Linked DNA regions of Saccharomyces cerevisiae S288C. The gene in region 3 interacts genetically with the main gene of each other region. Each region holds a gene or a part of one and is shown on either strand. Other genes may lie near its edges.

The links. A genetic interaction does not mean that the proteins touch.
Region 1: mutations in ZWF1 (region 3) and RPE1 are lethal when combined (synthetic lethality), as found in Saccharomyces cerevisiae (4 studies listed by BioGRID, with this or other methods).
Region 2: mutations in ZWF1 (region 3) and TAL1 impair growth when combined (synthetic growth defect), as found in Saccharomyces cerevisiae (4 studies listed by BioGRID, with this or other methods).

What each region holds. Positions count from the first base shown.
Region 1 is NC_001142.9:188,310-196,026, forward strand, and holds RPE1 (ribulose-phosphate 3-epimerase RPE1), read right to left. Parts: upstream 2,782-7,717; coding exon 2,065-2,781; downstream 1-2,064. Other genes in the region: DUF5427 domain-containing protein MTC1, read right to left, coding at 1-1,131; ALB1 (Alb1p), read left to right, coding at 1,407-1,934; YJL118W (uncharacterized protein), read left to right, coding at 3,330-3,989; PHO86 (Pho86p), read left to right, coding at 4,222-5,157; SUN family protein NCA3, read right to left, coding at 5,551-6,564.
Region 2 is NC_001144.5:834,286-842,092, forward strand, and holds TAL1 (sedoheptulose-7-phosphate:D-glyceraldehyde-3-phosphate transaldolase TAL1), read right to left. Parts: upstream 3,073-7,807; coding exon 2,065-3,072; downstream 1-2,064. Other genes in the region: BUD8 (Bud8p), read left to right, coding at 67-1,878; ILV5 (ketol-acid reductoisomerase), read right to left, coding at 3,781-4,968; ATG33 (Atg33p), read left to right, coding at 6,036-6,629; RSC2 (Rsc2p), read left to right, coding at 7,046-7,807. UniProt on the Saccharomyces cerevisiae protein: Transaldolase is important for the balance of metabolites in the pentose-phosphate pathway.
Region 3 is NC_001146.8:194,307-202,464, forward strand, and holds ZWF1 (glucose-6-phosphate dehydrogenase), read right to left. Parts: upstream 3,638-8,158; coding exon 2,120-3,637; downstream 1-2,119. Other genes in the region: ATG2 (Atg2p), read left to right, coding at 1-1,796; iron-sulfur cluster assembly protein NAR1, read right to left, coding at 4,196-5,671; LAP3 (bleomycin hydrolase), read left to right, coding at 6,263-7,627; kexin KEX2, read left to right, coding at 8,122-8,158. UniProt on the Saccharomyces cerevisiae protein: Catalyzes the rate-limiting step of the oxidative pentose-phosphate pathway, which represents a route for the dissimilation of carbohydrates besides glycolysis.

The sequences.
Region 1 (7,717 bases), on a different chromosome or scaffold from region 3:
GCCTGGCGTATTGGAGTCGGTCACTTGAAAGTCACCGTCGGCATCTTTTTGTTTTTGCGGAATGGCAATTGGTAAGATGGATATGAATAAATCACTGATTTTATTGCTGTTACTGCTAATAGAACTCCTATCGTCATCTGGAGTGGCATCAGCCTCTTTCTGTTGTTTCTGGTATTCCTCATGTGCAGTATTGAAGAGTTTGACTGCATTTTCCAGGTTTGCAAATGCCAGTTTCTCACCGTCTGTTACCTTGCCGTCGAATAGATTAAACTGTAATTTTTTTTTAGAGTTGCCTAACTCACCGTCTGCAACTGAAGGCTTTTTTTCCACAGGTGTAATTCCATTATTGTTAGGATGGCCCCATTCATCTACAAATATTCTGATTCCTCCCTCAACTTGTGAGCTTAGAACTTGATCAAACTTGCTTTCAATATTGTATTGTAATGAGGGATAGTTAACCAAATCATGGACTAGATGAATTCGCAGCACCTCTTCAGTCTCACCAACAACGATTTTCTGTAAGTTTCTGGCTATTTCAGTAATCGTGCTCGTGTTTATCTTTGAAGTCAAATCAAGCTGTTCTTGGGCAAGTCGGTTTTTGATCTGGGATGCTTGTTCTGCAGTTTTATTCCAAATACTCGATACCTTTGCGGATCCAGAGGAGGACCACCAGTTTGAAATAGAAGCAATTGGGTCATGCAATGGGGTCTCCTCCTCCTCCTCTTCTTCTTCTTCTTCTTCCTCCTCTTCTTCTTCTTTCTCCTGCTGCTGTGGTTCCTTTTCCTTTCCGTGAGCGTCCTGCTCGGAATTTTTGTTTTCTTTTGATTCTTCTACTTTTTCGTCTTGTGCTTTATTATTAACTGATTCACTGGGAGCCTTCTTTTCAACCCCTTTCTTGTCAGTTAAGCTTAAGTTACTCTTCTCCAACTCTTCTAAGAATTCAAAGATATCATCGTCACCTTTCTTTCCATCATTCCCGGTCTTGCCCGCCACAGAATTAGAACCTCCCTTAACGCCTTCTTGGCTACCCTTTACGTCAGTATTAACCATTTTCCCGCCATTCTTTGCTTCTGGCAAAGAATCTAAAAATTCAAATACGTCTTCAGCCTCAGAGTTCTTATTTTCAGACATTTTGCCCTGGTAGTATGTATGTTTTTAATCGATTGAGTCTAGTTAACCTGTCCCTTGTTCTATTCTTCACCGTCTCGTCCAACTTCCATCAAAGAACCAGAAACCAGAAAATCGCCGGTTTCTTCCACGCGTCAATCCGTTTGGAATGATCTCATCGCAAAATTTTTTTTCGCTAAAATTTTCATAGAGAGTATCAATATTAATATATGGTTATAACTTATGGCGGCATTAGTCGATGAGGTGCTTGCCGAAGAGACTAGCACAGCCAACCCATAATGCCTTCTAAAAACTCCATCAACAGACCTAAGCTGACTTCAAATTTGCACCACAAGGTGCACTCTTTAAATAAGAAAAGAGCTCAAAGAGAAAGAGCTGGTCTCTTGAAGCCAGCTAGATCCAGCGTAAATTCGAAATCTGGGGAAATAAAATCAGTAGCGTTGGACCTATACTTCCAAAACAAGAAGAACGAAAGTCAGAATTCCACTGCTGTGACATTACAAAATGCTTCATCTTCTCCGGCCTCCATCACCACGAGGACACTTTCCAAAAAGAGAGCTAAGAAAATCGAGAGAAACTTAAAATATGCTACACAGAGAAAATTATTGGTTGACGCAAGCGCTAAGCTAGAAGACGAAATGGATATTGATCTAGATGGCGGTAAGAAAGTGAAAGAGAATGAAAAGAAGAGTTCTTTGACTTTGGTTAAGGAAGCCTTATGGAGTGTCATTGACGATACTGCATCCCAGGGATTGATCATCGAAAACGGACAAGGCACCACCCTGGGCGGCCCATTTTTCCCATGAGTTAGGCACTTACGTATCTTGTATAGTAGGAATGGCTCGGTTTATGTATATTAGGAGATCAAAACGAGAAAAAAATACCATATCGTATAGTATAGAGAGTATAAATATAAGAAATGCCGCATATGTACAACTAATCTAGCAAATCTCTAGAACGCAATTCCTTCGAGACTTCTTCTTTCATGAAGGAGATAACATCGTGCGGGTCAGCTGCAGTGAAAACACTGGTACCAGCGACAATAACGTTGGCACCGGCTTTGGCGGCTTTCGGGATGGTCTCCTTGCCCAAACCACCATCGACTTGGATATTCAAATGGGGGAACTTGGCTCTCAAAGTTTCCACTTTTGGCATCATGTCTTCCATGAATTTTTGGCCTCCAAACCCAGGTTCCACAGTCATAACAAGAGCCATATCCAAATGAGGAGCTAGTTCAAATAAAACGTCAACAGAAGTACCAGGTTTGATGGCGCATGCAGCTTTGATGCCCTTAGACTTAATCAACTTAACTAAATGCAAAGGGTCTTGTGTGGCCTCGTAGTGGAACGTAAATTGGTCAGCACCACATTTAGCAAAATCGTCGACCCATTTTTCAGGATTTTCAACCATCATGTGACAATCGAAGAACGCAGTGGGCTTCTTTTCTGTGTTGCTAGCATCGCCAGGGCGTGGCACAGAACGACGTAGGGAGGTAACAATTGGTTGGCCCAGAGTAATGTTTGGAACAAAATGGCCGTCCATGACATCGATATGTAACCAATCTGCGCCGGCGTTGATGACCTTATGACATTCGCAACCCAAGTTGGCGAAGTCAGAAGCAAGGATACTGGGAGCTATAATTGGTTTGACCATTTTTTCTTGTGTGTTTACCTCGCTCTTGGAATTAGCAAATGGCCTTCTTGCATGAAATTGTATCGAGTTTGCTTTATTTTTCTTTTTACGGGCGGATTCTTTCTATTCTGGCTTTCCTATAACAGAGATCATGAAAGAAGTTCCAGCTTACGGATCAAGAAAGTACCTATACATATACAAAAATCTGATTACTTTCCCAGCTCGACTTGGATAGCTGTTCTTGTTTTCTCTTGGCGACACATTTTTTGTTTCTGAAGCCACGTCCTGCTTTATAAGAGGACATTTAAAGTTGCAGGACTTGAATGCAATTACCGGAAGAAGCAACCAACCGGCATGGTTCAGCATACAATACACATTTGATTAGAAAAGCAGAGAATAAATAGACATGATACCTCTCTTTTTATCCTCTGCAGCGTATTATTGTTTATTCCACGCAGGCATCGGTCGTTGGCTGTTGTTATGTCTCAGATAAGCGCGTTTGTTATGCGAAAAAAAAAAACTTTACAGAGGCTTTGTTTATATATAGAAAGACCACGAAAAAAACAGTGATGGCTTCATGCTTTTCAGTTTCATTATTGGCACGAGTAGCAGTCGTTGAGCCCATCAGAGTGCAACTTTGGTTAAATGTCGTAAATTGTATGATTGAATCATCCATGCACCAATGTCCTCCACGGGATCGCCACTTTTTTTCTTCATCACGCCCCATTTTGTTGATCCGACGTTCTGTATCAACTGTATACAGATTCGTTGCTTCTCGCACCACACAGGTTTTACGTGCGGCCAAGACCGTTGTCAAGTGGTTCATTATTGTCGACCCACTGATAAATTCTATTCTAATCAATTATCTCATTGATAGGCTCTGCACTCTTGGGCATGCTGTATTGCGAGTGAAAAAGCGCAAGACCGAGGAGAGACAACCCTGTTCTCCCATTATACAACACACACACGTTAAGAGACGCAAACGGCCTCGTCTGAGGATCGTAGCCATCAAGAGGAAGCGGAGGCGTCGAAGACCACATCGCATCGAGCGTCCACTCTCAAATATGTACCCAATAATGGAAATCCAGATGGTGGCTGTTCCACTTGCTCTTCCCAGTCCAACTGCACTGGTGCATTATCAGCAGCAGCAACAGCAGCTCCCGCAACATCATCCCTGGTACGACCTCTCGCTTTCTGAAGAAGCCCTCTCGACCTGCTGTTGTAGTTGACCTATAACTGAAAATTCACACCCGCATTACCCAGCGCGCCCGCACGTGCTCTTTATGGAAACTATAATGAATAACGACCAAAGAACATCTTTTTTTCTCTCTCACACAAATAAAGCTTTTCATGTTTATAGATATATAGCACATACTTTTACTAAGTTTTCTAGATTGATTACGACTCTTCCAGTTGCACATTTTTTCATAGCGAAAGTACAAGAGTAGGAAGAGTGGCACAATGGCGGTTCAACAAAGAAAGAAGAAAGAGGGTAGAAAGTCCGATAAAAATGCCCCATCGGTCCCACAAGTAGATGCATCATTAGACAAACCACTTGATATTGATGCTCCTCCTACTATTTACAGTGTTAATTTGAAACCAGAATATGGTACAGCTGCATTGAATTTGTCCGCGGATTTCATCAGACAAGAACAGGCATTGGCTAATAAGTATTTGTTCTTCCATCCCGTCATCCTTGTTGTTCTAACCATTGGGCTGCTTATTTACTTGACGCCAAGAATTGTCTTTCCGATAAGGAATACAGGATCCGTTGCTGGATGGTTCTACCAGCTGGCTCGTATTAATAAGAAGGTCGTCCTCAGCGGTTTAGTGTTCACCGCAATTGGTGCATCTTTCTTGTTCACCCTCCTCTCACGTGTATCTGACTCGTATTTCAAGTCGAAGATCAACCAACTTGTTGGTTCTAAAGGTGAGAAAGTTTTCGGCATCAATTTGAATGATTTGGTGGCAAGACATGAAACAAAGGATCCAGTGGTGAACAATACGCATATCATCGTTTATAGAGAAACGCCCATTGCATTGATTTCGTTAGCCCCTAACATGACATTAAGTACTGATGAAAATTTAGTCATGAGTGTTACTACTGTGGGTTGTCGTCGTGTATATGTAAAAAGTGGCATTATCGAAGATTTGATTGATTGGGCTATGCTACACTCCAAAAATATTAGAAGCAGCGGCAAATACGGGGAGACCATGAAACTCTTGATTGATGTCTACTCATTCGATAGCACGCTTAAGGAAATTTTGAAGAAAAAAGGGTTCACTTATATTCAAAGCATTAGAGTCTCTGAAAATCGACTACTAGGCGGTTTGTTCGGTGTGAAGAAGGAATTATGGGGTTTGCAATTCCATTTTAAAGCCGAACACAAGGACTAGGATACTGTTATTTTTATAGCCAAAAAATGAAAAAAAACAGCATGGCATCTTGTTAGTTCTGTTGCAACTCGCAGGAAGTAACAAAATAAACACTATAATATTTCCATATATTTATATATATGTATACAAACACCTTGTTAACAAAAAAAAAATAAACGAACTAAAGAAAACCGTAATGCAGAGTACACCTTGAAGAGAGAGAAAAGAAAATCTTTGAATCCATAGCATAATAGCGATCAACGAAACTTTTTAAGAAGTAAAATGAACTGAAAGGAGAAAAATATAACGGAATCCCAATGTATAATAATAAATAGAGAGCGGAAGAAAAAGAATAATAAGGGGAATTGAGGGTATCAAAATACAAGACATTCTTTTACCGAAAAGAAGAATGACTTAATAGAAAACAAATTCAGCAGATCCAGATAAAACAGAAACTGTGCAACCATCGGAACCATCTCCGGTGAAAGAGCCATCTTCATACGCACAGCTGCCCTGAACGTTAGCGCCATCGGATGCAACTATTTTAACGTTAAAGTTGGCAGCTTGGTTACTGTTGGGGTTTGGAATCAACGACAAGTATGTTTCTCCATTAGTGGAACCAGCACCTAACACTAGTGGAGCCCAGTTGCCGACATCCGAACCAGAAGTACCCCAAATGCACCCATCTTCTGCAGATACACCGGCGTTGTTAATATAGTACTGAGCAGAAGTCTTTTTACCCTGCCATTGATAATAAGTGTCTTCATCAACGACTGAAATTGGTTGTGAATCTCCACCATCAACCACTGTGGGAATCACCATGTTTTCTGATCCTGGGTAATCCGTCCTACATAGAGCAATGGAGTCAGACTTTTTGTTAATGGCCTTAGCAGATGTTTCATCCGTAGAACATAAATCGCTGGTATCAGTGTTGGTACGGTACAAGTAACCATTTTTACAGTAAAGACCACCAACAGATTTACCATCGCTTGGTTGGTCAGAAGGCCATTGAGTCTTTGACATTCCAGGTTCACATGCATAAGAACAGTAGTAGCCATCCTTACATTCGGACGAAGTGTTGGCATCCATGTCCATGACAGAGGCCCATCCACCAAATCCTAGCCAGTCCAAGGAAACTATACCGTTTACAGAAGGGAAGTCCGAACATTTGACAGTACCATCTTGGAATCCGCCATCACGCTTCTGTTCAGAGGTATCCTTCTCAGATGAGGACAATGTAGTGGTAGTAGCAGCAGATTCTACAGTACTAGTAGCGGCATTGGAATCTATGTATTGAGTGACAGTGACAACCGCTGGTTTTTCATCTTTGTGATGATCTTCATGGTGACTGTCCGCTGGAGCAGGTGCAGGGGCAGAAAATGCGACAGAAGAAAGGGAAGACAATATTAAAGCTGCGGAAATTTTCATTATGTGTTAGAGAGAGACGAGTTAAGTATGTGCGACTATACTAGTATTATAATATTAAAGGAAAGTAAGGTACCGTCTATGAGGAGACTGTTAGTTGGATATCAGTAATGAGACGAAAAAGCTCGAAATGAATGGATATATTCTTTTTGCTACTGGCAACTGTTGAATATTTAATGTTAAAACAAACTAACTGAGGTATATTCGTATCTGTATGTACACATATACTATATACAGGAAAAGATAAGCAAGAGAGAGGATATCAACTACGAGAGCGATCGATTATATATCAAAAGCTGTCCGCTTTGCCACCCATAATCGGCGCTTAGTTTCGGAGTTCAATCATAATTCTACCACCTTACACTCAACTTACTCTTTAACTCCTATAGTATAATATCGCCACTGACCCCATATTAAAAAAATTTTTTTGCTCGATCTTCTATCCTCTTTAGGTTAATTGTCGCTGTTATTGTCTAGATTTTTTCTCGGAGATGGCGCATCTATTTGCCGTCAAAAGATCCTCTCATACCATATTAAGTAAATTGCCTCCATTTCTTTTTCCTCGGGCAGAGAAACTCGCAGGCAACTTGCTCTCGAAGTGGTCACGTGCGGGTCTAGGCCTGCATAATCGGCCCTCACAGAGGGATCCCGTTACCCATCTATGCTGAAGATTTATCATACTATTCCTCCGCTCGTTTCTTTTTTCAGTGAGGTGTGTCGTGAAAGAAAACCCACAATTAAACTTTCAACAACCGGGCGACTAGGAAGAGAGTAGTGGGCGCGGATGACGAAGGCTAAGGTCACTTCTTCGTTTCCTTTATTGGGGTTTCCGTGTAGCCTTCCCCTGAATAGTGTGGGACGTTTTATGAGAAGCCGTAAGAAATAGGCAAATTGAGTTATGACAAGTAGACATGATGCCGCAGCCTTGCCTGACTTTACGTCTCCTTCATGAATAAGTTTTTCTATCGAGTTCTTTTCCTTTTTTCGCCTTAATTAGCTCAATTAAGCCTGTCCTCACTACTTTTCTTTTTCTTATCGGCTTTGTGCCACACCTAACCTTCGAATGCTGTTTTATTCCGTTCTTACATGGGATGGTAATGCCTTGGCGAGAATTTCGATTTTCAGGATATTGTCTTGGTGGCGTCTTTTGCTGTTA
Region 2 (7,807 bases), on a different chromosome or scaffold from region 3:
GAAGCATTTTTGACAATACCCAATATCCTCTTTCTACTTGAGAATTTTTTCGATTCTACATGAAGTATGATACAATCAGACGAAGATAATTTGGACTCTTCTGAAACGACAGCATCAACTTCATATAGTGGTACTTCCTCTGTATCATCCAGACTACAACTAAGAACATCCTTGTTTTTTGAAAATCTTAATGGAGCACATGGGAACCCCGATGCGGAGACAGAGATGGCTACTGTTGCCTATGAAACCACAAGTAGAGGTCAAGGATTTGCTGTATACATCAACAATGAAAGGTTTTCTCAAATAATGGGAGCATCCACAAGCTCTAGCTCTAGTAGCAACTCGTCCTCTATTACACAATTTCACGATACCCAAGATAATAATATACCAAGCAACACTACTGTAAGGCCAACTTCACTTCGACGAGACAACGAGGATACCGTACCGTTAAGGAACGTAACTCCTTCACAAAACGCGGCGGTACGGCCAGAAAGAGCAGTGAATTCACCATCTTCGCAGAGATTAAGTTGCGCACTGACAATATCAACTTCAGTTCTTATGGGAGAAGATGTTGAAGGAAGCCCTATAGAGCAAGAGCATAGTAGGGTCGTATCTTCATTATACTCATCTTTGGCGAATCGCGGGAACGACGAGTCAAAGAATGGAACACCTCCACGTCCTACCTCAATTGAACCTAATGAAACAACGGAACACTCATTTTTCTCATACCATTACGATGACACCTTAGAACCAGATGTTGAAGAGGCAGTGAGGCTAACGAAGAATAAAACTTCTAATGTTAATTTTATAAGCTCAACTGGCAGTAAAGGTGAAGGCGAGACCGAGGATGAAGTCATAGATCAATACGAACCTGTGAATGAATCAAAATTTATACCGCACAAACTAAAAATTCCAGAGAAGGCTGGATCAATAAAGTCGTCGACAAGTGATGATTCGCATTCGCCAGGTGCGCCAGGTACGTCGGCAAGGAAGATTAAAATTCCTCAGAGTCCATCGTTAATTGGTAACATATTGATTCCTTCACACAATAGTGACAGTAGTAACGAAAGTTCTCCTAAAGACCATATAGGGCATAATAATGAAGAAAAATTCAGTTCAAAATCTACGCGCAAGCCCTCCACATCCCTAGAAGAAGAAGGTCCACCAATTGGACTACCTTCAATTCCCGTATTAAGAAGTGTGTCCGGACCAAGCAAATGGACGAAGACACCTTTACGCTTAGAATCTGGAAATTCAACTAAGTCTGATCCATTTTCACGCTATGAAGGACACAAGACGCCCTCTCCATTGACCAAGATGAACAAGAAGAAAAATAAAACGTTGCCAGAACATGGACAACCCCTCGTGCTAGCTCCAATTAAATCTCAAAGCTCGGAGTCAGACACGGGACAGAACTCCATTATAGAAAAGCCAGCTCGAAGCATACGACGAAAGCAACAAGAAAAAACTGATAATAGGAAAGAAGACAGGCACGATGCTGAAAATATAGACCTGGAGGCGAGAATGCCAATTCAACATATCGATACCGCTTCCATTCATTCGTTTGATTCAGGTCAAAATGGATTCAGGGACGTTTACAGCATCGAAAACATCATTGTGATCCTCCTATGTTGTAGTATAGTGCCGCCATTATTTTTTATTATTGGCTGCAGCTCAAGAAGGAAATTAGTTTCAGACTATAGATTAATGAGGTTGCTTATGAATAAAGAACACCGAGCGGCTTTGCTGCAAGGATTCATATGGGACGTTGATTTAAGGTGGTTCCGGATGTTTTGTCTGATCTTAGGGGCTGCCGAAACAGTGATTGTGATGGCCGGTATTGCTATTGGATTTGGTGTGGGTATAACACGTGAATAAGAAACTGTATCATTCATCAAATAGGATAAAAAATAAAAAACTGTTCTGTCTCGTTAAAGTCATATATATAAATAGGGGATTTTCATTAATTTATATATATAGATATACTTGTGTACATGTACCCGTAAGTATCAAAAGAAACGTGCATAAGGACATGGCCTAAATTAATATTTCCGAGATACTTCCTTAAGCGGTAACTTTCTTTTCAATCAAGTCGAATAGAGTAACAATATCGGCAGAGAATTTTCTGATACCTTCGGACAATTTTTCAGTGGCCATAGCGTCTTCATTCAAGTCGAATCTGAATTTAGATTCGTCGCTGATGTAAGAAATCTTGTCGCCGGCTTCCTTCTTAGCGGAGACAGGGTCCAAAACTCTTGGGAAAGGTTCAGTACTGTTCATCAACTTGTCCAATAAAGCTGGAGAAATTGTTAGATAGTCAACACCAGCCAAGTTTTTGATTTCGTCAGTGCTTCTGAAAGAAGCACCCATAACAATAGTCTTGTAACCGTACTTCTTGTAGTAGTTGTAGATTTTCTTGACGGAAATAACACCTGGGTCGGCTTCACCCTTGTAATCTTTACCAGTGCTGGATTTGTACCAGTCTAGAATTCTACCAACAAATGGGGAAATCAAAGTAACTTGGGCCTCGGCACAGGCAACTGCTTGAACGAAGGAGAATAATAGAGTCAAATTACAGTGGATACCGTCCTTTTCTTCCAATTCTTTGGCAGCTTGAATACCTTCCCAAGTGGAAGCAATTTTAATAAGGACTCTTTCCTTGGAGACACCTTCTTGTTCAAACAATTTAATGATATGTCTAGCCTTTTCAATGGTAGCTTGAGTGTCAAAAGACAATCTAGCATCAACTTCGGTGGAGACTCTGCCTGGAACAATCTTTAAGATCTCCTTACCGAATTCGACTAACAATCTGTCCACAGCATTTTCGACTTGTTCTTCGGTGGTCTTACCATGCTTCTTACCGTATTCCACGGCAACATCGATCAACTTGGCGTAAGTTGGTTGCTTGGCAGCAGCCAAGATCAATGATGGGTTAGTTGTGGAGTCTTGAGGTTGAAACTTGGCAATAGAGCCGAAATCACCAGTGTCGGCAACAACGACAGTGCCGGAGGCTTTCAATTGTTCTAGAGAGTTGTTAGCAACCTTTTGTTTCTTTTGAGCTGGTTCAGACATTATGTACACGTATATGTGACGAGTTCGAGAAGTATTTTACTATCGTACTAAATTTTACCTGAAAAATTATATACTCGAGAAAGAGGAAGCCAAGAATTGAGAAAAAAGAAAAACCCGCGAGTAAGGAAATTAAATACAGGTGTACACATACACGCACACATATATATATATATATATATGTATATGTGTATATAGGAAGCGCGCGCATGTTAGTATATACGATTCGTTGGAAAGGGGCCGTCCACCAAACGTGACTTGACGAGTTGACAAATTGACCTCAATATGGCTCAGTCAGTAATTTTTAGTTCCGCTTTATTCCCGCCATCTTTCAGGCCACGAGGGTAGCTCATAACGCCGCGCTAATGCCGCTGCGTCACAGCAACCAGTAGCTCAGCCAAAACCGAAAGAGAAATCGTAGCTGTCCCGATGAGGACTTATACACTTGTCACCATCTAAATAAATTATTTATTCGCGTTTCGGTTCTTGTTTTCGATTTAATTAGATTGTTCATTGAATCATAATAAATATGTAAAAAATATATATATTTGAAGCTGCTTCAGAAAAACAGGGCTTCCTAGTGTACAGATGTATGTCGGATGAAAAAAAAAAAATCTTAAATGTGAAATTGGGTCAATTCAATTGACTATGACTTGATGTTGCAAAAATTCCAAGAGAAAAAGTTTCCAGCACTTGATATTATTTTCCTCTTTATTGGTTTTCTGGTCTCAACTTTCTGACTTCCTTACCAACCTTCCAGATTTCCATGTTTCTGATGGTGTCTAATTCCTTTTCTAGCTTTTCTCTGTAGTCAGGTTGAGAGTTGAATTCCAAAGATCTCTTGGTTTCGGTACCGTTCTTGGTAGATTCGTACAAGTCTTGGAAAACAGGCTTCAAAGCATTCTTGAAGATTGGGTACCAGTCCAAAGCACCTCTTCTGGCGGTGGTGGAACAAGCATCGTACATGTAATCCATACCGTACTTACCGATCAATGGGTATAGAGATTGGGTAGCTTCTTCGACGGTTTCGTTGAAAGCTTCAGATGGGGAGTGACCGTTTTCTCTCAAGACGTCGTATTGAGCCAAGAACATACCGTGGATACCACCCATTAAACAACCTCTTTCACCGTACAAGTCAGAGTTGACTTCTCTTTCGAAAGTGGTTTGGTAAACGTAACCGGAACCAATGGCAACGGCCAAAGCTTGGGCCTTTTCGTGAGCCTTACCGGTGACATCGTTCCAGACGGCGTAAGAAGAGTTAATACCACGACCTTCCTTGAACAAAGATCTGACAGTTCTACCGGAACCCTTTGGAGCAACCAAGATAACATCTAAGTCCTTTGGTGGTTCAACGTGAGTCAAGTCCTTGAAGACTGGGGAGAAACCGTGGGAGAAGTACAAAGTCTTACCCTTGGTCAACAATGGCTTGATAGCAGGCCAGGTTTCTGATTGAGCGGCATCGGACAACAAGTTCATAACGTAACTACCTCTCTTGATAGCATCTTCAACAGTGAACAAGTTCTTGCCTGGAACCCAACCGTCTTCGATGGCAGCCTTCCAAGAAGCACCATCTTTACGGACACCAATGATAACGTTCAAACCGTTGTCTCTCAAGTTCAAACCTTGACCGTAACCTTGGGAACCGTAACCGATCAAAGCAAAAGTGTCGTTCTTGAAGTAGTCCAACAACTTTTCTCTTGGCCAGTCAGCTCTTTCGTAGACGGTTTCAACAGTACCACCGAAGTTGATTTGCTTCAAACCACGGGTAGTGATCATTGGCTTAACGAAACGGGCAGCTGGTCTGCTGTAAGCAGCAGCACGGGTGGCCAAAGCAAAGGTTCTCTTAGCAGTGATGACACGGGAGTTGCAGATCAATCTGGCGGCTTGAGTTCTCAACATGTTTTATTTTTTACTTATATTGCTGGTAGGGTAAAAAAATATAACTCCTAGGAATAGGTTGTCTATATGTTTTTGTCTTGCTTCTATAATTGTAACAAACAAGGAAAGGGAAAATACTGGGTGTAAAAGCCATTGAGTCAAGTTAGGTCATCCCTTTTATACAAAATTTTTCAATTTTTTTTCCAAGATTCTTGTACGATTAATTATTTTTTTTTTGCGTCCTACAGCGTGATGAAAATTTCGCCTGCTGCAAGATGAGCGGGAACGGGCGAAATGTGCACGCGCACAACTTACGAAACGCGGATGAGTCACTGACAGCCACCGCAGAGGTTCTGACTCCTACTGAGCTCTATTGGAGGTGGCAGAACCGGTACCGGAGGAGACCGCTATAACCGGTTTGAATTTATTGTCACAGTGTCACATCAGCGGCAACTCAGAAGTTTGACAGCAAGCAAGTTCATCATTCGAACTAGCCTTATTGTTTTAGTTCAGTGACAGCGAACTGCCGTACTCGATGCTTTATTTCTCACGGTAGAGCGGAAGAACAGATAGGGGCAGCGTGAGAAGAGTTAGAAAGTAAATTTTTATCACGTCTGAAGTATTCTTATTCATAGGAAATTTTGCAAGGTTTTTTAGCTCAATAACGGGCTAAGTTATATAAGGTGTTCACGCGATTTTCTTGTTATGTATACCTCTTCTCTGAGGAATGGTACTACTGTCCTGATGTAGGCTCCTTAAATTGGTGGGCAAGAATAACTTATCGATATTTTGTATATTGGTCTTGGAGTTCACCACGTAATGCCTGTTTAAGACCATCAGTTAACTCTAGTATTATTTGGTCTTGGCTACTGGCCGTTTGCTATTATTCAAGTCTTTTGTGCCTTCCCGTCGGGTAAGGGAGTTATTTAGGGATACAGAATCTAACGAAAACTAAATCTCAATGATTAACTCCATTTAATCCTTTTTTGAAAGGCAAAAGAGGTCCCTTGTTCACTTACAACGTTCTTAGCCAAATTCGCTTATCACTTACTACTTCACGATATACAGAAGTAAAAACATATAAAAAGATGTCTGTTTGTTTAGCCATCACAAAAGGTATCGCAGTTTCTTCTATAGGCCTCTACTCTGGTCTTTTGGCTTCCGCTTCATTGATTACATCTACTACTCCACTAGAGGTTTTAACAGGATCCCTTACTCCCACTTTAACCACTTTGAAAAATGCGGCCACCGCCTTGGGAGCGTTTGCGTCAACTTTCTTTTGTGTGAGCTTTTTCGGCGCTCCTCCCTCATTGAGACACCCCTACTTACTCTATGGTATGCTTGTAGCTCCATTATCTTCATTTGTTCTAGGATGTGCCTCCAACTATCAGTCTAGAAAGTACAGTAAAGTCTCTAAGGAATCTTCTTTATTTCCCGAAGACAGCAAACTCGCTGCTTCCGAACTGAGCGATTCTATTATTGATTTAGGTGAAGACAACCATGCTTCAGAAAATACACCTCGAGACGGGAAGCCTGCAGCAACCACAGTATCAAAGCCGGCAGAGGCATTGCACACCGGTCCCCCAATCCATACTAAAAATCTAATTGCAGCAACTGCTATTGCTATTGTTGGCTTTGTACAAGCCGTTATTGGCGTTTATGGGGAAGGACAATTTATCTAGTGTTTCTCGTTCACGTATTTATCTCTACAAGAATTTGTAGCTGCCTGAACTCGGCTCCTCTCTCTCTCCAAAAATAAAGTGTGTAGTAATTTGCAGTTTTTTTATATATTCCTACGAGTTTTCAAACGTTCAAAAGACAGTATGTTCAAAAATTGTGCATACACACACGTATGCACATATATACATAATAATACACTGTAATAAGCACATTTGTAGGTGCTCTTGCACTTGGTTTATTACTGTCACTGACTTTTCTCACCCGGCCGAGAGTCGTGCGAAAATTCGCATGTTAAAGTGAGAAAATAGAGAAAACAACACAGCTGAAAAAAGTATTGGTAACAGTTCAATACGTGATCAAATATACAGCACGTCGCGCAGAACCAGACGAAGCGGAGAATATTCTACATTGACAGTGCATGATGCCTGATGACAATTCAAACTCGTCCACTCAAAACTCAAGCGCATTATACAAGGACCTGAGGAAAGAATATGAATCTCTTTTCACTTTAAAGGAAGATTCTGGGTTAGAGATTTCACCAATATTCAATGTCCTTCCACCTAAAAAGGATTATCCTGACTACTACGCAGTGATCAAGAACCCTGTATCTTTCAATACTTTAAAAAAGCGTATTCCACATTATACAGATGCTCAACAGTTTATGAACGATGTTGTCCAGATTCCATGGAATGCCAAGACTTACAATACAAGAGATTCAGGAATTTATAAATACGCCTTAGTCCTTGAGAAATATTTAAAGGACACAATCTATCCAAATTTAAAAGAAAAATATCCTCAATTAGTGTATCCTGATTTGGGTCCTCTACCCGATGAACCAGGTTATGAAGAGTTTCAACAGAAATTAAGAGAAAAAGCTGAGGAAGTAGCGAGAGCTAATGCAGCCAGAGCCGAGTCGAGCTCTTCAATGAATTCAACAGAAGCAGCCAGAAGATTAAGAAAGACTCGTACTTCCGTCAAAAGAGAATCAGAACCAGGAACCGATACAAATAATGATGAGGACTATGAGGCGACGGATATGGATATCGATAACCCTAAGGATGCTGATTTTCCTGATTTGATAAGAAAGCCACTAATAAATATTAATCCATATACTCGGAAACCATTAAGAGACAACAGGTCCACTACTCCATCTCACTCAGGCACCCCTCAGCCGTTAGGC
Region 3 (8,158 bases):
TTTTACTTCCCCATGAGAGTTATCTAGACTCTGCTCAGCCAAAAGAAGAAGATACTCCACCAATCGCCTCAAAAGAGCAAGAAAGGGATGTGGATATAAGGGGTAGTATAGATGTCGAAAAAGTTGTTATAAAACTATTCGATGGGTATGATTGGAAATATACGCGGAAATTTATCGCTAATACTGTTGAAAAACTGGATAAAGAGCTCAGTAAAGCGGAAGCAAGCAGTTCGAAATCAAATGTACCCCAATCAGAGGCAAATATTTTTGACTCTATTTATATATCTGCTAACAAAAACAATGTCACAGATTTGAGAAGAAATCTTGATGGTGAGATCCAGGGGGTTCAGAATTCCTTCTCTGATGTCTCTAAAGTTAATTTGCGACCTTCTAAGCATTACAAAGCCCTGATTCAATTGAACAAAGTACATGTCAATTTGAAGAATTATCGAGTAGATGAACCCGATGAGTCTAACTCTGATAATTCCACAGATGTTTTGAACCGATGTGTAGTTTCCATTTACGAATTTGAAATTATCGATAATGTTCCCACGTCCACCTGGAATAAATTTGTAACTTTGCTAAAGCACGAACCGTGGCCACACAGTTCTCCGATGTTTCTTCTGGACCTGGAATTTATCCGGCCGATCGACTTTTTGCAAGCAGTGGAATTAGTCATGCAATTAAATGTTGCGCCTTTACGCCTTCACGTGGATCAAGACACTTTAGAGTTTCTAATAAGGTTCTTAGGGTTCAAAGATAAAAGATTTGAATTAATTGATGAGTATCCAGATATTGTATTTATTCAAAAATTTAGCACTAATTCAATTAAGTTAAGATTAGATTATAAGCCGAAAAAAGTTGATTATGCGGGTTTAAGATCGGGCCAAACTTCTGAATTGATGAATTTTTTTACCCTTGATGGATCCAAGATTATTTTGAAAAGCGTAGTCCTGTATGGATTAAATGGATTCGATGAATTAAATAATAAACTGAAAGCCATTTGGACGCCGGATATTACCAAAAAGCAGCTGCCTGGCGTTTTGGAAGGACTGGCTCCTGTCAGATCGTTTATGGCGATTGGGTCAGGGGTGAAGACCCTAGTCACAGTACTAATGTCAGAATACAGGCAAGAAGGGCATTTGGGAAGGAGTCTGAAAAAGGGTGGCAATGTCTTCTTGAAAACGACAACGGGAGATTTTGTGAAATTGGGAGTTAAATTAACTTCAGGGACACAGGCGATATTGGAGAACACCGAGGAACTATTCGGTGGTGTTGGTTCCAATGGCAGGGTGTACGATGCATCGAAATTTGGCTCCGCTGATGGTGCAGACAGTGATACTGCAGCTGTATTAGACTTGGATACTTTATTCGAGGAGGATCAGTTAGTTGGTAGTAAATATTCCAGGATAAGAGATCATGAGCCCACGGCAGTAGTCATCGATATGTCTTCACCGGGAGATCACAACGAACCCACAATAGTGAGTCTGTACGCAGATCAGCCCCTCGACCTGCCCACGGGTTTGAAGGAGGCGTATAGTTCATTAGAAAAGCATATGCATATTGCGTACGATGCGGTATGGAGGGCAAAGGGACAGATGAAGGATGATAAACGGGGAGGGCCGAGCGCCGCAGCAGTTTATGTTGCTAGAGCTGCACCTGTGGCAATTATTCGGCCGTTAATTGGGGCCACTGAGGCAGTGTCTAAGACTTTACAGGGAATAGCTAATCAAGTGGATAAGACGCATAACGAGCAAATCAATGATAAGTACAAGTCCAATCGGACTGATTCGTAAAAATTTTTGCAGACATTTTTGATATATATTCAATTCATATTTTATCTCTTTTTTTTTTTTTTTTTTCAGACGTGGAATGGTGGGAAAGCCAAAATGTCACTGACCGCGGCTAAAAGTTAAAAAATACATGAGACGACATTCTTTTATGTATATATATTTACACATGTATACAAACAAATACACACGCAAGTAGAGAGGAGTTGGTGGGGGGAAGATGCCATTATAGAGGAGAAAAGAACAAAGAGAGTGAGCTTGCAAGATAAAATCACTCGAAAAAAAAAATTTCAGTGACTTAGCCGATAAATGAATGTGCTTGCATTTTTCTAATTATCCTTCGTATCTTCTGGCTTAGTCACGGGCCAAGCGTAAGGGTGCTTTTCGGGCATAACATACTTGTGTTTTTGCATATATTCCTTCAATCCCTTTGGACCTCTTGATCCGTAGGGGTAAATTTCCGGTGTTGGACCGTCCGGACGCTCTATGTGCTTCAGTAATGGGGTGAATATGCCCCAACTGATATCCAATTCGTCATCTCTGACAAAGTTGGAATGGTCACCCAGTAGGGCGTCTCTTATCAACACCTCGTAAGCCTCTGGAATCCAAAAGTCTTGGTACCTGCTTGCGTAAGTTAGATTCAGATCTGTGACTTGGGTAGCATTTGACAGACCAGGGGTCTTAGCATTAAACTTTAGGTACACAGCGGCATCGGGCTGCACTCTGATGACCAGTTCGTTATTTGGAATGTCTTTGAAGACACCCGATGCGACCGCTTTGTACTGCAGTCTGATCTCCACCTTGGACTCATTCAAAGCCTTACCGGCACGCATCATGATGGGGACGCCCTCCCAACGCTCGTTTTCGATGTTGAAAGTCATTGCTGCAAAAGTGACACATTTAGAGTCCTTGTCTACAGTGTCATCATCCACGTAGGCGGGCTTAGACCCGTCCTCAGATTTACCGTACTGGCCCAAGAGGACGTCGTCCGTGTCGATGGGGGCCACGGCCTTTAGAACCTTAACCTTTTCGTCACGAATAGATTCCGGGTCAAAAGACACCGGTCTTTCCATAGTCAAGAGAGTCATGATTTGTAACAGATGGTTCTGCATCACGTCTCTGATTATGCCTATAGAGTCGAAATAGCCGCCACGGCCTTCGGTGCCGAACCTCTCTTTAAACGAAATCTGAACGCTTTGAATGTTGTCTCTATTCCACGAGGCATTCAAAAACTGGTTACCGAACCTCAAGACTAAAAGATTCTTGACCAACTCTTTACCCAAGTAATGGTCAATTCTGTACAACTCTTCTTCTTTAAAGAGGGGCCCCAGGTTTTTTTGCAGCTCCCTGGCAGAGGCCAGGTCGTGGCCGAAAGGTTTCTCTACGATTACACGGGTGATGCCATTCTCTGCGTACACACGACTCTTGATCTGCTTGGCCACCGTCAAAAAAACGCTTGGCGGCAAGGCCAGATAGAAGAGACGGTGTGGGACATCGACGTTGGCACTTTTCTCGAATTTCTCGATCTGCGTTCTTAATTCGTCGAAGCCTTCATCTGTGTCGTAATTTCCCGAAATGTAGCTGACCATCTTGAAGAACTGTTCGACCTTAGAGTCATCGGCTTCACCGTGAGGTTTTTTCAAGTGGGGTAGGACACGGGACTTCAGGTCCTCCTCCATGGACAATTTGGACCGGGCATAACCGAAGATCTTGGTAGATGGATCAAGGTAACCTTCTCTGAAAAGCCCAAATAAGGCGGGAAAAGTCTTCTTCTTTGCCAGATCACCTGACGCACCAAAGACAGATATGACGGTATTTTTTTCGAATTTGACGGGGCCTTCACTCATCTTGCCTTATGTGGTTTTCTATTCTATTGGATTTACTCTTTCTGTCTATACAGCCAATTGGAGAGGGGGAAGGGGGAGAAGGAGGGGTGAGTGGAGAAAAGGGAGAGAGGGGCAGGAGGAAGCCACTTTAGGTGTTATGTGTCGGTATATAGATGAACCCACAGTTTGCTTATATATGGGATAGCCTTGGCGAGTTTTCCGTACATTGAAGAATTCGCCACCCTTAGAAAAGGGGCCACCACACCTTGAGCCAAAAATCCCACATTAATAATATTCCATTTTTTTTTTAGTCATTTTTTTTTTTTTCGTCTCTCTTCCTCCTCCGGCCGAGCCGAAACCGGGCTTTTAGCACCGTTGGAAGCTTGTATCTCCGCGTAAGACCGCCGGAGTATGCATCTTATAGCGGTTTTTCCAGTTCTTTTCCACTATTACGTGGTGCTTCCAGTAGCGCTACTATTATTGTTGTTCTTGCTATTATTTAAATGTCACTATGTACTTGATACACACAGTTTGTGGTGATTTCACGCTTATGTACACGGGTGCAAAACTACACCTTACTTACCAGGTGCTCCCAACAGAGACGAGATCCTTTTCGACGGCCTGCTTGACGGGCGCGAAGACGTACTCTAGCGAAAGCGGGCGGGCTGCCGCCTCTTCTAGCTTGGGTCCCAGGGTTAGAGGATCTACCATTGCTAGCTCCTCTCCGTGACGCTTATTCAGTGTCTGAACCAACTGCTTCCGCTTGAGACTGTTTTGCTCGCCATTGAGTAGGCCACCACCGTTCATGCATGCACCCGGACACGCGTTTACCTCGATGTAGTCCGAGTGGTAGGGATCGGCCGTGGCGGCCGTGGCGGCCGCCATCTCGCGTGAGTTCGCCTTTGGACCTGTTCGTCTCTTCCGCAGAGCGGTGATGTTCCTCTTGCGCTCTGACCCGGAGCCCGAGGTCAGTTTACGCACCAGATTTTGGATGTTTCTAAACCCGGAAAGCTCGCTGGCGGCGGCTATTATGCGATCATCGTGCAGCAATCGGTACTCGACAATGTCGCTGTTTCTACCCTCCAGAACTATCATCTGACTTCCTGGGTGTAGTCGTTGGACAGCCGTTACGTACTGGTAGGCATAGCCACCACAAGTGCCTCCCAGATTCGACGCCCAGTGGACTCGCGGGTCCCATCCCGGCGGTGATAGCCGCCCATATAAACTTGTGTCCTCAGTAAGAAACGACTTGAAGTCTAAATTCAACTCTTGTAACATTGTCACTATTTCACGTGGCGTAATGACACAGTCAATCCCATCGTCAAGCGATTCTGGCCTTGACGCTTCTAGTTTCTTGTCAAAACATGGCATCAGCGACAGATGGTAAAAGGACTCACGCGCGATAGCGAGACTCTCGAACGTAGCTCTGATCAACGAGCCCGTAATTTGCTGAGGCGACTTGACATTGAGCAGCATAGGCACCAACTGCGGTTTGGTCTTTTCCGTGTATATAAGAAATCCCGGACACACAGCAGATAATAGAGGCTTGCGGTCCGCACCGGTATTTTCTTTTTGTTTCTTATGCGCAATGATCTTCTCTACGGTTTTGCTAATCGATATGATTCTGCCCATCTCCGTTCCAACCATATACTTGCACTGGAAATGCTTTTGGAAAAAATTCATCAAACACAAATCGGCCGCCTCCAATGTTAAGCCGTAGTACTGCGCAAGAGATAGTCTGCATTGTGGCGAGACACTCACAACGAGGAATTTGTCTTGCTGCTGCGAAAGCTTCCCCCAGTTTTTCAGGAAAACCGAGTGACTTTGGCTACTCAACAAGATTTCTTCACTAGACGTTATACAACCAGAACACGCGAGGCAGTCTGATAGGGTAATAGAGACCTTCTCCAGTTGGTCTGGTTCCGTGCTCACCTCGTATTCTCCGTTCATGTTAACGTTATCCTTCTTGCCCCCGCTCACCTGGGTAGGTTTGACGCACGCAAGGGCGGGACTGATAAAATCGTTTAGGTCAGACTCGGACAGTAGAGCACTCATGCTTTCTTGTACACTTATCTTGTCACTCAGGAAAAGGAAGCTCCCTCTCTTATCTTTCCAGCTGACAAGACAAGTTTCTTAGTCATCACCATAAAACGCTTTTATCATTTTTTTCTTCATGCGATGAGCAGGGAAAACTGGTAAAAAAAGAAAATAGGAAGTGGAAAAGAAAAAACTAGCGGAAAGGCAGGCAATATGCTTTACAAACAGGCAAATTTTGTCTCTTAATCCTGTGAAGAGGCATCGTATATTCAGTGCTTTTTGAAATTTAGAAAATAGTCGCTTTATTGATTATGCTACATATGTTATTTTGCTTTAGTATGTGTCAAATAGCATGCAATCGCCGGGTAGTGAGTGACACATCCTTTTTTCCCCTCCCACCAGAAAGTCACCTGCTCTCTTAATCAATGGGGTTGCATGTGGTAATCAATTGATAACGCCGGCTGACAAGTCGCCGACGGGCACCCATAAATAAACGATAAATAGCCCTTGCTCTTTTGTTACATGCTTCCTACTTCTGTTTCCCGGTCCTTGTATCTCAAGACGTTTAGAAGCCACCTTTTACGAGCACCACAAATTGTTTTAAAAAGAATGTCCTCTTCCATCGATATCAGTAAGATCAACTCTTGGAACAAAGAGTTTCAATCCGACTTAACCCATCAATTGGCAACCACTGTCCTTAAGAATTATAATGCCGATGATGCACTGTTGAACAAGACTAGACTGCAAAAGCAAGATAACAGGGTTTTCAACACTGTTGTCTCTACTGATTCCACTCCAGTCACCAACCAAAAAAGCTCTGGTAGATGTTGGTTGTTTGCCGCTACCAATCAACTGCGCTTGAATGTTCTTTCTGAATTGAACTTAAAAGAATTCGAACTGTCCCAAGCTTACTTGTTCTTTTACGATAAGTTGGAAAAGGCCAACTATTTCTTGGACCAAATCGTCTCCTCGGCTGATCAAGACATCGACTCACGTCTCGTGCAATACTTGTTAGCAGCTCCAACAGAAGACGGTGGCCAATACAGCATGTTTTTGAACCTAGTCAAGAAGTATGGCCTTATCCCCAAAGATTTATACGGGGATCTACCTTATTCTACTACTGCGTCCAGAAAATGGAATTCTCTGTTGACTACTAAACTGAGAGAATTTGCCGAGACTCTAAGAACAGCTTTGAAAGAGCGTTCTGCCGATGATTCCATAATTGTCACTCTGAGAGAGCAAATGCAAAGAGAAATCTTCAGGTTGATGTCGTTGTTCATGGACATACCTCCAGTGCAACCAAACGAGCAATTCACTTGGGAATACGTTGACAAAGACAAGAAAATCCACACTATCAAATCGACTCCGTTAGAATTTGCCTCCAAATACGCAAAATTGGACCCTTCCACGCCAGTCTCATTGATCAATGATCCAAGACACCCATATGGTAAATTAATTAAGATCGATCGTTTAGGAAACGTCCTTGGCGGAGATGCCGTGATTTACTTAAATGTTGACAATGAAACACTATCTAAATTGGTTGTTAAGAGATTACAAAATAACAAAGCTGTCTTTTTTGGATCTCACACTCCAAAGTTCATGGACAAGAAAACTGGTGTCATGGATATTGAATTGTGGAACTATCCTGCCATCGGCTATAATTTACCTCAGCAAAAGGCATCGCGTATTAGATACCATGAAAGTTTGATGACTCATGCTATGTTGATCACTGGCTGCCACGTCGATGAAACGTCTAAATTACCACTTCGCTACCGCGTTGAAAATTCCTGGGGTAAAGACTCCGGTAAAGACGGATTATACGTGATGACTCAAAAGTACTTCGAGGAGTACTGCTTTCAAATTGTGGTCGATATCAATGAATTGCCAAAAGAGCTGGCTTCAAAATTCACCTCAGGTAAGGAAGAGCCGATTGTCTTGCCCATCTGGGACCCAATGGGTGCTTTGGCCAAATAAATAGTTTCAGCAGCTCTGATGTAGATACACGTATCTCGACATGTTTTATTTTTACTATACATACATAAAAGAAATAAAAAATGATAACGTGTATATTATTATTCATATAATCAATGAGGGTCATTTTCTGAAACGCAAAAAACGGTAAATGGAAAAAAAATAAAGATAGAAAAAGAAAACAAACAAAGGAAAGGTTAGCATATTAAATAACTGAGCTGATACTTCAACAGCATCGCTGAAGAGAACAGTATTGAAACCGAAACATTTTCTAAAGGCAAACAAGGTACTCCATATTTGCTGGACGTGTTCTTTCTCTCGTTTCATATGCATAATTCTGTCATAAGCCTGTTCTTTTTCCTGGCTTAAACATCCCGTTTTGTAAAAGAGAAATCTATTCCACATATTTCATTCATTCGGCTACCATACTAAGGATAAACTAATCCCGTTGTTTTTTGGCCTCGTCACATAATTATAAACTACTAACCCATTATCAGATGAAAGTGAGGAAATATATTACTTTATGCTTTTGGT